2 linked regions of the Canis lupus familiaris genome follow. The protein of the gene in region 1 interacts with the protein of each later gene in a pairwise test. Links are inferred from orthologs where the notes say so. Each region holds a gene or a part of one and is shown in the gene's direction. Other genes may lie near its edges.

Region 1 (6,147 bases):
CCGGAGCGGCTGAGCCGGGGTTCAGGGGGTACCTCTCAGCCACATCACGTGGATGTGTGGCCTCTCAACCTGCTGCGGCCCCGGGGTGGGCCTGGCTACGTGGATGTGTGTGGCCTTTTCCTGCTGCAGATGGCAACCATCTTGGGCATGGTGCCTGCTTGGCATAGCGCCCGGCTCCGGATCTTCTTGTGCCTGGGGCCTCGAGAGGCCCCCGGGGCGGCTGAGGGGCGGCTCCGGGCACTGCTGAGCCAGCTGAGGATCAGAGCCGAAGTACAGGAGGTGGTGTGGGGTGAGGGGGCTGGGGCTGGGGAGCCGGAGGAGGAGGAGGAGGAAGGAGACTTTGTGAATGGCAGGCGGGGAGATGCTGAGGCAGAGGCCCTGGCATGCAGTGCTAACGCCCTGGTTCGGGCCCAGCAGGGGCGCGGCAGAGGAGGCGGGCCCGGTGGGCCTGAGGGTGCGGATGGCGAAGGTGGGCCTGCCACAGCCCTCACTTTCCTATACCTGCCTCGGCCGCCCGCCGATCCTGCCTGCTACACTCGCTACCTGGCGCTCCTGGAGACTCTGACCCATGATCTGGGCCCCACGCTACTCATTCACGGAGTCACCCCAGTCACTTGCACTGATCTCTGATGCCCGGGGCCTGGAGCAGAGGGTGCCCAGGTCCGGTGACCTGCTTTGATCAGTGGATGCAGAAGGGAAGGGCAGCCTCCCGCCTGCTCCACGTGTGGGGTGTGGAGCCCTGTGGAAGTACTAGGGGATCCTGGGCTGGGGCACCCCTCTGTCCCTGTGAGAGGGGCTTTAGTGCACTAATGCAGGGCAGCTGTGTCCCCACCACGCTGGGGGAGAAAGGCAGCAGCCCTCCCCACTGGCCTCCCTTCCTTCACTGGTGCCTTGATGGAGGCTGGGTCTCTGCTTTGACTCTCGGCTACCTCAGTCTCCCCTTGCCCAACAGACTCGCAGACCCCTGAGGTTGTGATGTTTTTGTTCTGTTTTATTTTTCTAACCGCTGAACGTGAATAAAAGACCAAAACACTATGGGCTGGCCTGGCTGAGCACTGCTAGGGGCGGTAGGTGGGGCGGGAAGAGAGAGATCTGGTTGGGGGAGTGTGGGAAAGAGCCGCGCTGGAGCGCGTCCCAGCGGCGAGGTGGCCACGTGCGGGACTTGGGGCGCCAGTCTGGGGGAACGAGTGAAACGGAGGCAGCCTTGGAAAGCTCTCCCTGCTCGGCGGGAGGGGGCCGACTGGGGGAGGGACGGCAGTTTAGGGCCTAGGGGGCCACGTGACCCTCCCCCAGGAATGTGGTGACGTCACCGGGGGCGTGGCTGTCCCCAAAATTGGGGAGGAAGGGGAAAAAAAAGGCCAGAAAAAGTTTCTTTCCTGGAGTTCCAAACGAGGTGTGGGACAGAAGAAGGGGCCAAGACCAGAGTCTTGGGGCTACGTGGGGCCTGACCGCTGTCTAGAGTCTCCTGATCCCGGCCATGTCGGGGCCCACCTGGCTCCCCCCAAGGCAGCTGGAGCCTGCAAGAGCCCCTCAGGGGAGAGCACTCCCCCGAGGTGCCCCGGGGCCGCCGCCAGCCCATGGAGCAGGTAAGGCAGCCCCAGTGCCGCCAAGGAGGCCACTGGCCATTCTGAGCTCACCTTCGCCTTCTGGTTCCTGCCTCCTGCCCCTGGCTTGTCCCTGCCACCCCTTCCCTGAAGCCCTTCCGGCTTCCTGCTCCTGCTCTGTTCTGGGACTCCAAGTGTGGGGGGGGAGGGGAGAAGAGTGACCCATGAGGGCGGCCTCCATAAGTGTCACCCTCCCCTCCTTCCCCATCCCCACCTTGGCTCTCTTTTCCCTCACCCTAGCACATCAGCCCCACCCCAGGGTCAATTTTTGCCCCCTCCCATCTGAGCAGTGTTACCAGGCCCCCGGGGGACCAGATGATCGGGGGTTCCCCTGGGTGGGGTGCCATGGAGCACCCCAGCGCTCACAGGTGAGAATTGGAATTGGGAGTGGGTGGGAGGTGGGGGCACCCGGGGCAAGTGACTTGAATTCTCCCTGCTTTTTCTTCATCTCCAGGGGCTCCCCCCAGACAGGGGGGCCTTGCGTCCAGGAAGTCTGGATGCCGAGATAGATTCGCTGACCAGCATGCTGGCTGAGTTGGATGGAGGTCGTGGTCATGCCCCACGGCGGTCAGACCGGCAGGTGACTTCCCTGTCCCACCCCTGTTCCTTGTCTCCTGCCCTCTTCCACACTCCCCATCCTGGTCCTTTCCCTAGATTCTCAACCTGGTACCCTTCACCCTTGCCCCCATGTGTGATACATGCAGGAGTATCACATCTTACTAGATTGTCAGCCTCTTGAGTGCTTGTCAAAGACCAGCACTACCTTGGGGACACACACACACACACACACACACACACACACGTGGGAGGGCCCACAAGTGTGTGTCCTGGAATGGGCCTTCTCACTCCTGGTCTGTTTCTCCCCAGGCTTATGAGCCCCCTCAGCCCCATGCCTACCGCACAGGCTCAGGCTCCCTGAAGCCGAATGGAGGGGGTGTTCCTATTCCTCCCCAACAGCTCTCAGCGTCTCCCTATGGGGGCCCCACTCCAGCCTCCTATGCTACAGCCAGCACCCCCGCTGGCCCTGCCTTCCCTGTGCAAGTGAAGGTGGCACAACCAGTGAGAGGCTGTGGCCCTCCCAGGCGGGGGGCCTCTCAGGCCTCCGGGGCCCTCCCGGGCCCTCACTTTCCTCTCCCAGGCCAAGGTGAAGTCTGGGGGGCTGGCTATAGGAGCCACCATGAGCCAGGGCCAGGGGTTAAAGAGGAGGCTGCAGGAGGAGGAAGAGGAGGCGCGTATGGGCCCCAGGTAAGCCCTAAGTATTGGGATGTGGGGTCCTCATGGACAACTGGACACTGATTGGGTGGGGTGGGGAGTCCTGGGGTGTTGGAGTTCTGGGTCCCAGGGATGTGGCGCTGGTCAGGAAATAGAAGAGGGAGGTGCTGGAGCTGTACACTGGCTCCTGGAGGTGCACCCCTGGGCCCCGGGCTGAGACCTCGTCAGATGAGCTTTCTGCTTGGAACTGCCTGGTCCCCTTCAGGAAAGTCTGACAGCATAGGGAGCTGGAGGTAGGGCTGAACCCCTGACTCCCCCCTTTCAGGTCCCCCTGAACCAGCCTCCTGAGGAAGAGCTTGAGAGGCTGACGAAGAAACTGGTGCATGACATGAACCATCCTCCCACCGGGGAGTACTTTGGTGAGCTGACCTGAGGTGGGAAGGGGGGCAGGGGACTGGGGAGTCAAGGGGACAGCGAATCCACCTTCCATTCTGCATGCTTATTGACCCTGTCCCTCCCTGTCCCCAGGGCGGTGCGGCGGCTGTGGGGAAGATGTGGTTGGGGATGGGGCTGGCGTTGTGGCCCTGGACCGGGTCTTTCACGTTGGCTGCTTCGTGTGCTCTACATGCCGGGCCCAGCTTCGGGGCCAACATTTCTATGCTGTGGAGAGGAGGGCGTACTGTGAGAGCTGCTATGTGGTGAGTGGGTGTGCTGGGGGTGGCCTGGGTGCTGGAGTCTGTAGCAGGAGGCAGGAGGCTTCCATCTAAGGTAGCAGGAGGCAGGAGGCTTCCATCTAAGGTGGAAACTAGATGTCTAAGCACATGAGAGGGACAGAATTCAAAGGTGGGGGATGCCTGGGTGGCCCAGTGGTTGAGCATCTGCTTTCGGCTCAGGTGGTGATCCTGGAGCCCTGGATTGAGTCCCGTATTGGGTTCCCCCCAGGGAGCCTGCTTCTCCCTCTGCCTATGTCTCTACTTCTCTCTCCGTGTCTCTCATGAATAAATAAATAAAGTCTTAAAGGAAAAAAGAACTCCAAGCTGGGGGACTAAACTGATGTGTAAGAAGGAAGGAATTGGGAAAGTAGTGAAATTACTGGCTGCTGGAGGGAAAGGACAATAGTTCCTTACAAATGTGAGAGGAGGAGGAAGAAGAGGAGGAGACCAGACTTATCTTGAGTTAAGGGAATATGTTAAATTTCCACACTGCTGCCCCTGTGAAGCAGCTGATACTACTGTAGGAAACGGAAGTTGAGACTGGATCACTTCTGTAGGAAGCTACAGTGCTGGGACTTAGATCTGTTCAGGGCCACTTTTCACTGAATCCCTTGCAGGCTATAAAAACAGGTGGGTAGGCCAGCAGGGTGCCTGCCAGCCACCGGACCTCCTCAGCCCTGAACTTGCCACCCTTCCTTTCTAATTCGCTAGGCCACCCTGGAGAAGTGCTCCACATGCTCCCAACCCATCCTGGACCGGATCCTGCGGGCCATGGGGAAAGCCTACCACCCTAGCTGCTTTACCTGTGTGGTGTGCCACCGTGGCCTCGACGGCATCCCTTTCACAGTGGATGCCACCAGCCAGATCCACTGCATTGAGGACTTCCACAGGTCAGACTGGGTCTCCCATCTTTCTCGAGACATCTGACCTTCCCCATCTTCTTCATTTCTCCTTTATGTCCCAGTACCAGCTTCTCCAGTTTCCTACCCCGGACTTTGTCTTTCTTGTTACCGTCACTCTCTCTTGTGAGAGCCAAGACCATCCATCCCTCTGGCCTCTCCCGTACCCTTGCATAGCCCACCTTCTCTGGGCTGCACTGTTAGTCCCCTCCAACCCAGGGGCTTGACAGCCTCCGTTGTTCCCTTCCACCCCAGGAAGTTTGCCCCACGGTGCTCAGTGTGTGGTGGGGCCATCATGCCTGAGCCAGGGCAGGAGGAGACGGTACGAATCGTTGCTCTGGATCGCAGTTTTCACATTGGCTGTTACAAGTGCGAGGTCAGGGGGCCCCGGCAAGGGGAATGGGAGATTCTTGGGGTCTGGGGTGCTGGGAATGGTAGAACCCAGGGCTCTGGCCCTGATAGAAAGCTCTTGCTTCTGTCTTAACAGGAGTGTGGGCTGCTCCTCTCCTCCGAGGGCGAGTGTCAGGGCTGCTACCCGCTGGATGGGCACATCTTGTGCAAGGCGTGCAGTGCCTGGCGCATCCAGGAGCTCTCAGCCACTGTCACGACCGACTGCTGAGCCTTCCCAGAACCACCTGTTACGTTTTCCCTTCCCATCAACTACCCTCCCTGACATCTATCCTGACAACTGTGTCACCAAGTACTGTCTCTTCTTCCTCCAATCATGAAATAATAATCCCTCAAGAGTTTACAAAACACTTAAGTGTATTGTCTCATCTGATTCTCACAGCAGCCTAATGCAAACACATTTGTGGTGACTGCGTTTTTACAGAAGCGATCTCAGGTTGCATGGTTTCCTAATGCAGTACCAAGATCAGAACCCGGGTCTCCCTAGACCTAGATTTTTGCAACTCCATTCTACACTCTTGCAAACGTGGTGTAAAGACACCCTTCCTCTCCGTGCTTGGAGTGAGGCTGCAGCATACTCCAAGGAGGCGGCCTTCCCTGTTCTTCAGCCTGGACACTCCACTCCCTGATCAAGGACTTGGTGTTCTCTCCGGGGGTGGTGGTGCGTTTTCTCTGGCGCAAGCCGGTCTCCGCCTGTTGATCAAGACCTCAACCTATAAGCTATCCCAACCAACTACTGGTTGGGGATAAGACAGACCTGCCGCCTTCGCCTCTTACGAAGAACAGCAGTAACAGGGTTTTGCAGGTGGTTAAATACCGAGGCGGCAATAAAGCTTGGGTCTCTGGCGCAGCACAAAATGGTGGGAGATGCTTTAAAATGGTTGCTCTATCCCGCTAAACGCCTGCATTCCCCAGCTCCCTGCCCTGCGCCAGAAGCAGGGGAAAGCAGCCCCACATGAGGGCAGGAGGCGCCCCGAGCTGGGTGGTCGGGGGGCAACAACGGGACACGAACTGGCTCAGATCCCCAGATCCCGGACACATCAAGCCAGAGGACGACCTTCGACCTCCGCGGGAGAAAGTTCTTTATACGCCCAGGGGCCCTACCGCCCTTCCGCGGCCTCGTTGGGTCCGTCTAGGCTTCCGTAATCCCTCCCGTCGGCGCAGTTTTCGTCCCTGAAAGCGCGCGAGACTTCCGAGTCCCCGCCCCCCTTCCCATCATCCCCCAGGGCTACCAGCCTCTCGCCCTGCCTGCGCTTTAAGTTCCAGTTCAGGCCGCGGGGGAGTAGCTTGTGGTTGGGGCCTCGTTCCGCC
Region 2 (7,848 bases), on another chromosome or scaffold:
TCTAAGATGTTCAGATAATCACCCTTCTGACTTGGTGGCTTTAAGGCATCACACTTCCCACCCTGAATGAGAAGGTCCCTCCACCTTCTTTCTACCCAGACAATTAACCCTTGATCTGCCTATAAAGTAGGTGCACTTTTGACTGAGACGGTTTGTGTTCTGGCTGACGTTCATTTTGCTGTTATCTTCTCAAATGAACTCTAGCCCCCAAAGCACCAAGTGTTTTCAGAAGCCAAGCTCCTCACCCAGTTTTTTCCCCCACTTTCTGATAGCTTGGACTCTGCTGGAATCTGAAGAGATATATCCATAATTCATTCAGTAATAATCAGAGCAGTGATAATAATAATATTTTGTCTCGGTCTCTTGAGGCCAGTCGATAGCTTCATATTTGCTGTTTATAAGCAAATATTCCACAAGGGGTTGCAGTGACCATGACTCGTTATTAATTCAGAGAAATACTGCAAGATACAGTTCTCCTGATATGTAATTGAAAGCAAGAGAAATATCAGCTGTGTATAAATATATGGATATATATATATATATATAAATTCTAGCATAACTAACCCAACCCTTGTTGAGCACTGACAGGAGGCTGAGTGAGGAGGGAGCCCAAGGCCAAAATGCCATCCAGCAAACTAAATAAATTGTCACAATAGCTTCCTGAGCCCTCCAGCAGTGTTAAGGTACTTGAGTTGGATTAACTCAGCTCATCCTCACAGCAAACCCATGAAGTAGGCGCCATAGGTACTGTTACCCTCACTCCCATTTTACAGATGAGGAAGTTAAGGCACAAAGGGAAATAATCTATTTATTCTATAGATACGACAAGAATTGTCATTTTCAGAACTTCCCTATATAATGGAGTTGAGCCCAGTTGGGAAGACATTGTGTAGTTGAGCTAAGCTGGCTTAGAGTTCTAGAAAGAGATCTGAACCAAGAGACCATAGTTCTGTTCTCATCTCTGACACCAAAATTGTGGCTTTGAGCAAAAGATAAGCTGGCCTCCCCAGACCTGTTTCTTTATCTATAAAACAGAGAGGTTGGGTCCAGTTCTCTAAAGGTCTCTGGAACTGCATGCATGTAACCTTCCATATGGGAGAGTAATGGGTGTGTGTAGACTATGTGTAGATGCTGACTCTCTGGAGCTTGCACCAATATTAAGTAACTCACTCCTGTTCAGCCAAGGCTGTAAATATCTGTCATTATGTGAGGTGTCAGGCTAGCACTGGGGGGTGCATGCCACCAATGGTCATGCTAAACTCTCTTCCTAAATCCTCTCATTTCTCAGGGCAGCAGGGGACTGATGGGGAGTCATGGACAACCAGTCAGGAGGACTCACCCAGGGTTTCTCTGTTAGCGAGGACAACAGTCTCTGAAAGTTTTCCCAGAGAACCAGGTCTTGAGGCACATCTGAAACATTAGCATGCTGCTAACCAGGTGGTGGGAAGGTCACTGGGATGGGAGACAAAGAACATCCAGAACAACTCTCACATGGGGATTTCTATCTGCCTCTAATCAAGCACGGCCCAGCGCTCCAGTGCTTGGAGTCCCATGGCAGTGACCCAACTCCACATGCCTTGAGCTTATTTATGCTGATTAGGTCCATAGTCCCTTGCCTTTCTGCTGTTTTCTGTTTCTTTGCTTTCTTTGTAGCCCCTACAGTCGTCCAGCGACCCACCCCCAGCTTCCATAGAACGGATCCTGACTCTCTTACTTCTGATTTCATCTCGAGGCTTTCTTACCAGCCATTCCCAATCATGGTATGGGCCCCAGCAAAAGGGATAGAGACCATAGTGCTCAACTCTCTCCCTCCTCTATCATCACAATACAACTCTTCTTGAGTGGAGTGATCTCCATCAGATTATTTTGGTACAAAGGCCCAGAACCTTGTCGTCCGTAACTGACTTTTCTTTTAAGTTACAGAACACTCAAGAGATGGAAGAAGAGAAACAGATTTTAGGATTATGACACATTCTTAAGTGGTTCCTCAAGACAGGATAGTATGCTGCATGATTTTATCTTTGTGTATGTGAGTTTCTGTTAGGAAAAAATCCCAAAGCTTCCTAGCATATAAATACTAAGTAAAACTTTCACTCAGAACACAAATCCCTCAGTTTCCCATGAGCTTCCCTGTCTACATTGCAGACTTCTTGGATCCCCAAACTGTAACCAATAAGAACTTCAGCCTTATTCTTCAAAAGCATCATCTGGGTACTGACCTCTTTTTTATTAGGTTAAGTAGTAACACTAAGAGGATTAACAGTAAAAGTAGGACCTCCTCCCAGGTACTGATGAGAAGGGAACTGCTTACATAATGCAGCCCCCAACCCCAACCCCCACTCCAGAGGGGAGACCCAGCACACAGCACAAGACTGTGGTTATGGGGCATAGTACAGGGGGAGATGATTAATGTATGTCAGTTCTAAAGGAATGAGAAGCACGGGGCTGGAAGATCAAGTCCACGTTTCTAGAGAAGCAAACAGGGGGCAGAAGTCCAAACAACAACTGCCAAAAATTCCACGAATATGTAAAGTCCCAAACATGTTCCACCCAATAGGCAGTCCCTCCTCCCACAAATGATCAGCATCCCGGTGACTCAGGTGCATCCAGACACTTTCGTGAAGCACCGAAGAGATCACTTTTAGTTTTCCAAGTGCCTGTGATGAATTTACAGCGTCCCGGCTCCTCTGTGTGCTGGGAAGGAGCAGGCATGTGGTGATGGCTGCCATCGTACCGCGAAACATGACTAACGCCAAGAAATGAAGTCTTCGGAGCCTTTGAAAGGCGTCCAAGAATGTCAGCACATACCGCTTGCCCACTCTCTGCTGAATGCCTACTTGGGCTGTCTGCTTAGTACTGAATGTGCCAGACAGGCCTTCATACAAAGGGGGAGAGTGTTTGGGGCCCCTGAAAGGGGGAGGCAGAGCCTTTCTGATGTGAATGGAGAGATTCAAGAAGTGGGGGGAAGAGGTGGCAGGGGGCGGGGGGGGGGGGCTTCAGGAAAGGTATGAATAAAAGACCAAAAAAGGAAAGAGGTGGCATCTACCTACACGCAGTAAACTCTTCGTAGCCCCCTGCCATCAACTCTGAAGAGAGACTACTGTCACCCTGTGCTCCATGCTTGGTTGTCATGCAAAGAGCACTTGCTTGTGGATTCCCCCTGTATCCACAACTTGATCGACTGGGAATAAGAATTTGGAAGGCCTGCCAAGGCATACATAAGTCGACTTTTGTTTCCACTTTAACACCAAATATAAACGCCATGTGTACCATTTGTCATTTGGGATTGTCTTTGACTCCTCCTGCCTCCGATATATGAAAAGATTGAGAAATGTCTGCTGTGGCACATCTGAATATCTTGGAATGTCTTATTCTTCGAGCTGGCTTGAGGAAAGGAAGAAAAGTGTTCTGTATAGTGAACTCTTTAACAGTGCTACTCGTAACTCCTTGGCACGGCATCCCCTGCTAGAGGGAAGAACTCTTGTGGTGTTCAGAGCTTCGCCGAGGAGGCAGTCTGACGTCACTGGTGGCAGGCACAGTACGGACGTATCTGTGTTTTGTCTGCGTCCATCTGTTTTTCTCCTTACAGGCTATTGTTCACATTTGTTCTTCTCCCCCTTCCAGGAAGTGTGCTTCTCCAGAAGAGCACGGGCTTTAGGTGTTTAAAGGACTGAGCTAGCATTCTAACACCATTTCCCTCTGTTCTCTTCTTCCTAGAATCTTATGGCAAGGGCCTTATACGACAATGTCCCAGAGTGTGCTGAGGAATTGGCCTTTCGCAAGGGAGATATTCTGACTGTCATAGAGCAGAACACAGGAGGACTGGAAGGATGGTGGCTCTGCTCCTTACATGGTCGACAAGGCATCGTCCCAGGCAACCGGGTGAAGCTTCTGATTGGCCCCATTCAAGAGACCCCCTCCGGTCAGGACCAGCCTACTTCAGGACTAATGCATCAGACCTTTGGCCAACAGAAGCTCTATCAAGTGCCAAACCCACACAGTGCCCCTCGAGATACGATCTACCAAGTTCCACCTTCCTACCAACATCAGGGAATTTACCAGGTCCCCACTAGCCATGGTATCCAGGAACAAGACGTGTATCAAGTACCACCATCAGTGCAGAGAAGCATTGGGGCGGCTAATGGTCCCCACTTAAGCAAAAAGGTGAGTGAGTGACCAAGATTTCTGTTCCTACTTATTTGTTTCCATTGTACTCAGAGCAATAGAAATGTTCTCAGAACAAGAACTTAAAACTTTCGAGAGGTAAATATATCTTCTAAAGAGTAAGTATAACTAAATACTTGACCTTGAGCATTAGTTTTGCATCATTTTTCCATTCATTGGTCAGCAAAACTTTGTTCCCATGTCATTAGAAGTTCTTGTGTCATTCCAGATCAAACTGGATCATTAAGTTTTTTCCGTCTTTCTGATAGACCTGCTTTTAGACCTAGGTTGTTCTAGACTCAGAAATAGTTTCCCGTCTTTTCTCTTTCCTCCTTGAGTGGTACAAAGCACCAAATTTACACAAATACAATGATGCAGAAAGGACTGTCTTCTCATCAAAAGCTGAATCGTGTCCGCATTGAACTGGCTGCACAAAGAACCCACCAGAGAGCAAAGAAGCTGTTAGTGGGTCATGCCAACCAACTTGTTCTGCAGAGTTGTTAGTTTCAAGGTTGACCCATTTAAAATAATACATGGGAGGGAGGAGCAAGATGGCGGAAGAGTAGGGTCTCCAAATCACCTGTCTCCACCAAACTACCTAGAAAACCTTCAAATTATCCTGAAAATCTATGAATTCGGCCTGAGATTTAAAGAGAGACCAGCTGGAATGCTACAGTGAGAAGAGTTCGCGCATCTATCAAGGTAGGAAGACGGGGAAAAAGAAATAAAGGAACAAAAGGCCTCCAAGGGGGAGGGGCCCCGCGAGGAGCCGGGCTGAGGCCGGGGCGAGTGTCCCCAGGACAGGAGAGCCCCGTCCCGGAGGAGCAGGAGCTGCACCGACCTTCCCGGGCGGAAAGGGGCTCGCGGGGAGTTGGAGCAGGACCCAGGAGGGCGGGGATGCCCTCGGGCTCCCGGGGACAGTAACAGCAACTGCGCGCCCAGGAGAGTGCGCCGAGCTCCCTAAGGGCTGCAGCGCGCACGGCGGGACCCGGCGGGACCCGGAGCAGCTGAAGGGGCTCGGGCGGCGGCTCCGCGGAGGGGGCTGCGCGGCCCCGGGAGCAGCTCGGAGGGGCTCGGGCAGAGGAAGAGGCTCCGTGCGGAGGGGGCTGCGCGGCCCGGGAGCGCGAATCCACCAGCGCAGGCTCCGGAGCACAGGGCGCCGGGACACAGCCCAGGATCCCGCCTCCCCCGGGACAGGCAGAGGCCGGGAGGGCCCAGGACAGCAAGGACGCTCCTGCCCCAGCTGAGCAGATCAGCGGCCCCGCCCCGGAGCCTCCAGGCCCTGCAGACGGAGTTCCTGCCGGAGCTGAATCCAGGTTTCCAGAGCTGCCCCGCCACTGGGGCTGTTCCTCCTGCGGCCTCACGGGGTAAACAACCCCCACTGAGCCCTGCACCAGGCAGGGGCACAGCAGCTCCCCCAACTGCTAACACCTGAAAATCAGCACAACAGGCCCCTCCCCCAGAACACCAGCTAGACGGACAACTTCCAGGAGAAGCCAAGGGACTTAAAGTACACAGAATCAGAAGATACTCCCCGGTGGTTCTTTTTTTGTTTGTTTGTTTTTGTTTTTGTTTTTGTTTGTGTTTTATTTTGCTTTTTGATTTGTATCCTTCCCCCACCCCCTTTTTTTCTCCTTTCTTTTTCTTTCTCTTTTTCTTCCCTTTTTTTTTTTTCGTTTTTTTTTTCTTTTTCTTCCCTTTTTTTTCTCTTTCTCTTTTCTTTCCTTCTTTCTCTCCTCTCTTTTTCTCTTTTTCCCAATACAACTTGCTTTTGGCCACTCTGCACTGAGCAAAATGACTAGAAGGAAAACCTCACCTCAAAAGAAAGAATCAGAAACAGTCCTCTCTCCCACAGAGTTACAAAATCTGGATTACAATTCAATGTCAGAAAGCCAATTCAGAAGCACTATTATACAGCTACTGGTGGCTCTAGAAAAAAGTATAAAGGACTCAAGAGACTTCATGACTGCAGAATTTAGAGCTAATCAGGCAGAAATTAAAAACCAATTGAATGAGATGCAATCCAAACTAGAAGTCCTAACGACGAGGGTTAACGAGGTGGAAGAACGAGTGAGTGACCTAGAAGACAAGTTGATAGCAAAGAGGGAAACTGAGGAAAAAAGAGACAAACAATTAAAAGACCATGAAGATAGATTAAGGGAAATAAACGACAGCCTGAGAAAGAAAAACCTACGTTTAATTGGGGTTCCCGAGGGCGCCGAAAGGGACAGAGGGCCAGAATATGTATTTGAACAAATTCTAGCTGAAAACTTTCCTAATCTGGGAAGGGAAACAGGCATTCAGATCCAGGAAATAGAGAGATCCCCCCCTAAAATCAATAAAAACCGTTCAACACCTCGACATTTAATTGTGAAGCTTGCAAATTCCAAAGATAAAGAGAAGATCCTTAAAGCAGCAAGAGACAAGAAATCCCTGACTTTTATGGGGAGGAGTATTAGGGTAACAGCAGACCTCTCCACAGAGACCTGGCAGGCCAGAAAGGGCTGGCAGGATATATTCAGGGTCCTAAATGAGAAGAACATGCAACCAAGAATACTTTATCCAGCAAGGCTCTCATTCAAAATGGAAGGAGAGATAAAGAGCTTCCAAGACAGGCAGCAACTAAAAGAATATGTGACCTCTAAACCAGCTCTGCAAGAAATTTTAAGGGGGCCTCTTAAAATTCCCCTTTAAAATAATACATGGATACTAGTGAATTTAGAAAGGAGCCATCCTCTTGTCGTTCAACTAATTCCTATAATAATGCTGGAGCCAGTGGGTGAAAATAGTAGAGCTGGAATACTTAGGAAACCATCATGGTAAAAAAAAAATTTTTTTTAAAAGGAAGGATCTCTTCAGCACTTTATGTAATTCCAGATGCCACAACAATTTGACATAAATAGAAGTCTGTTTGTTGAATTAATTTTAAGCATTTCATATATATATACATTTATTTTTAAAAGAGTTTATTATTTTTTAAAGATTTTATTTTTATTAATTCATGAGAGACACAGAGAGAGAGGCAAAGATATAGGCAGAGGGAGAAGCAGGCTTCCTACAGGGACCCTAATGTAGGACTCGATCCCAGGACCCCAAGATCACGACCTGAGCCAAAGGCAGATGCTCAACATTGAGCCACCCAGGTGCCCTTGTTTATTTTTTTTAAGTAATCTCTATACCCAACCTGGGGGCTCGAACTCACAACCCCAGGATCAAGAGTCACATGGTCATGGGATGAGCCAGGCAGGCAGGCAACCCTTTATTTAGTATATTTTTGATGCTTGTGATACAGGGATGAACTAGAGTGAACAAGGATGAACCTTCATGATGCTTCATTGTAGTGGGGAGAGAAGCAGATGCTGTAATGTCAGGTGGAACTGCACACTGGAGAGAAAATAATGTTAGTGAACTACTGGGGTGATAGCCAACACCAGGATCCTGCTTATGTGAGCATTACAAGGGAGGGCTTTCCTCTTTCGTTTACCGGCAAATTCCAAGGCTCTACAATGGGTCCTTTGAGGCTTGAGATTAAGAATGGACTGAATTTTCCCACATATGTGAGTGAAACCATATGATGATTGTCCTTCTCTGACTGACTTATTTCACTCAGCATAATACCCTTCACTTCCATCCATGTCAAAGAAATGGTGGATATTCGTCTTTTCTGATGGCTGAGTAATATTC

The links. The genes of interacting proteins can lie anywhere in the genome.
Region 2: the proteins of TRIP6 (region 1) and NEDD9 interact in binary tests that used the Homo sapiens proteins (3 or more experiments, as listed by UniProt). The link is inferred for Canis lupus familiaris from reciprocal best matches to the Homo sapiens genes TRIP6 and NEDD9.

What each region holds. Positions count from the first base shown.
Region 1 is NC_049227.1:8,841,627-8,847,773, reverse strand, and holds TRIP6 (thyroid receptor-interacting protein 6), read left to right. Parts: upstream 1-1,173; 5' UTR 1,174-1,477; coding exon 1,478-1,586; intron 1,587-1,844; coding exon 1,845-1,972; intron 1,973-2,058; coding exon 2,059-2,184; intron 2,185-2,471; coding exon 2,472-2,849; intron 2,850-3,141; coding exon 3,142-3,235; intron 3,236-3,344; coding exon 3,345-3,514; intron 3,515-4,240; coding exon 4,241-4,419; intron 4,420-4,683; coding exon 4,684-4,804; intron 4,805-4,915; coding exon 4,916-5,047; 3' UTR 5,048-5,186; downstream 5,187-6,147. Other genes in the region: SLC12A9 (solute carrier family 12 member 9), read left to right, coding at 1-630. UniProt on the Homo sapiens protein: Relays signals from the cell surface to the nucleus to weaken adherens junction and promote actin cytoskeleton reorganization and cell invasiveness. Involved in lysophosphatidic acid-induced cell adhesion and migration.
Region 2 is NC_049256.1:12,182,435-12,190,282, reverse strand, and holds part of NEDD9 (enhancer of filamentation 1), read left to right. Parts: intron 1-3,717; coding exon 3,718-4,164; intron 4,165-7,848. UniProt on the Homo sapiens protein: Scaffolding protein which plays a central coordinating role for tyrosine-kinase-based signaling related to cell adhesion. As a focal adhesion protein, plays a role in embryonic fibroblast migration.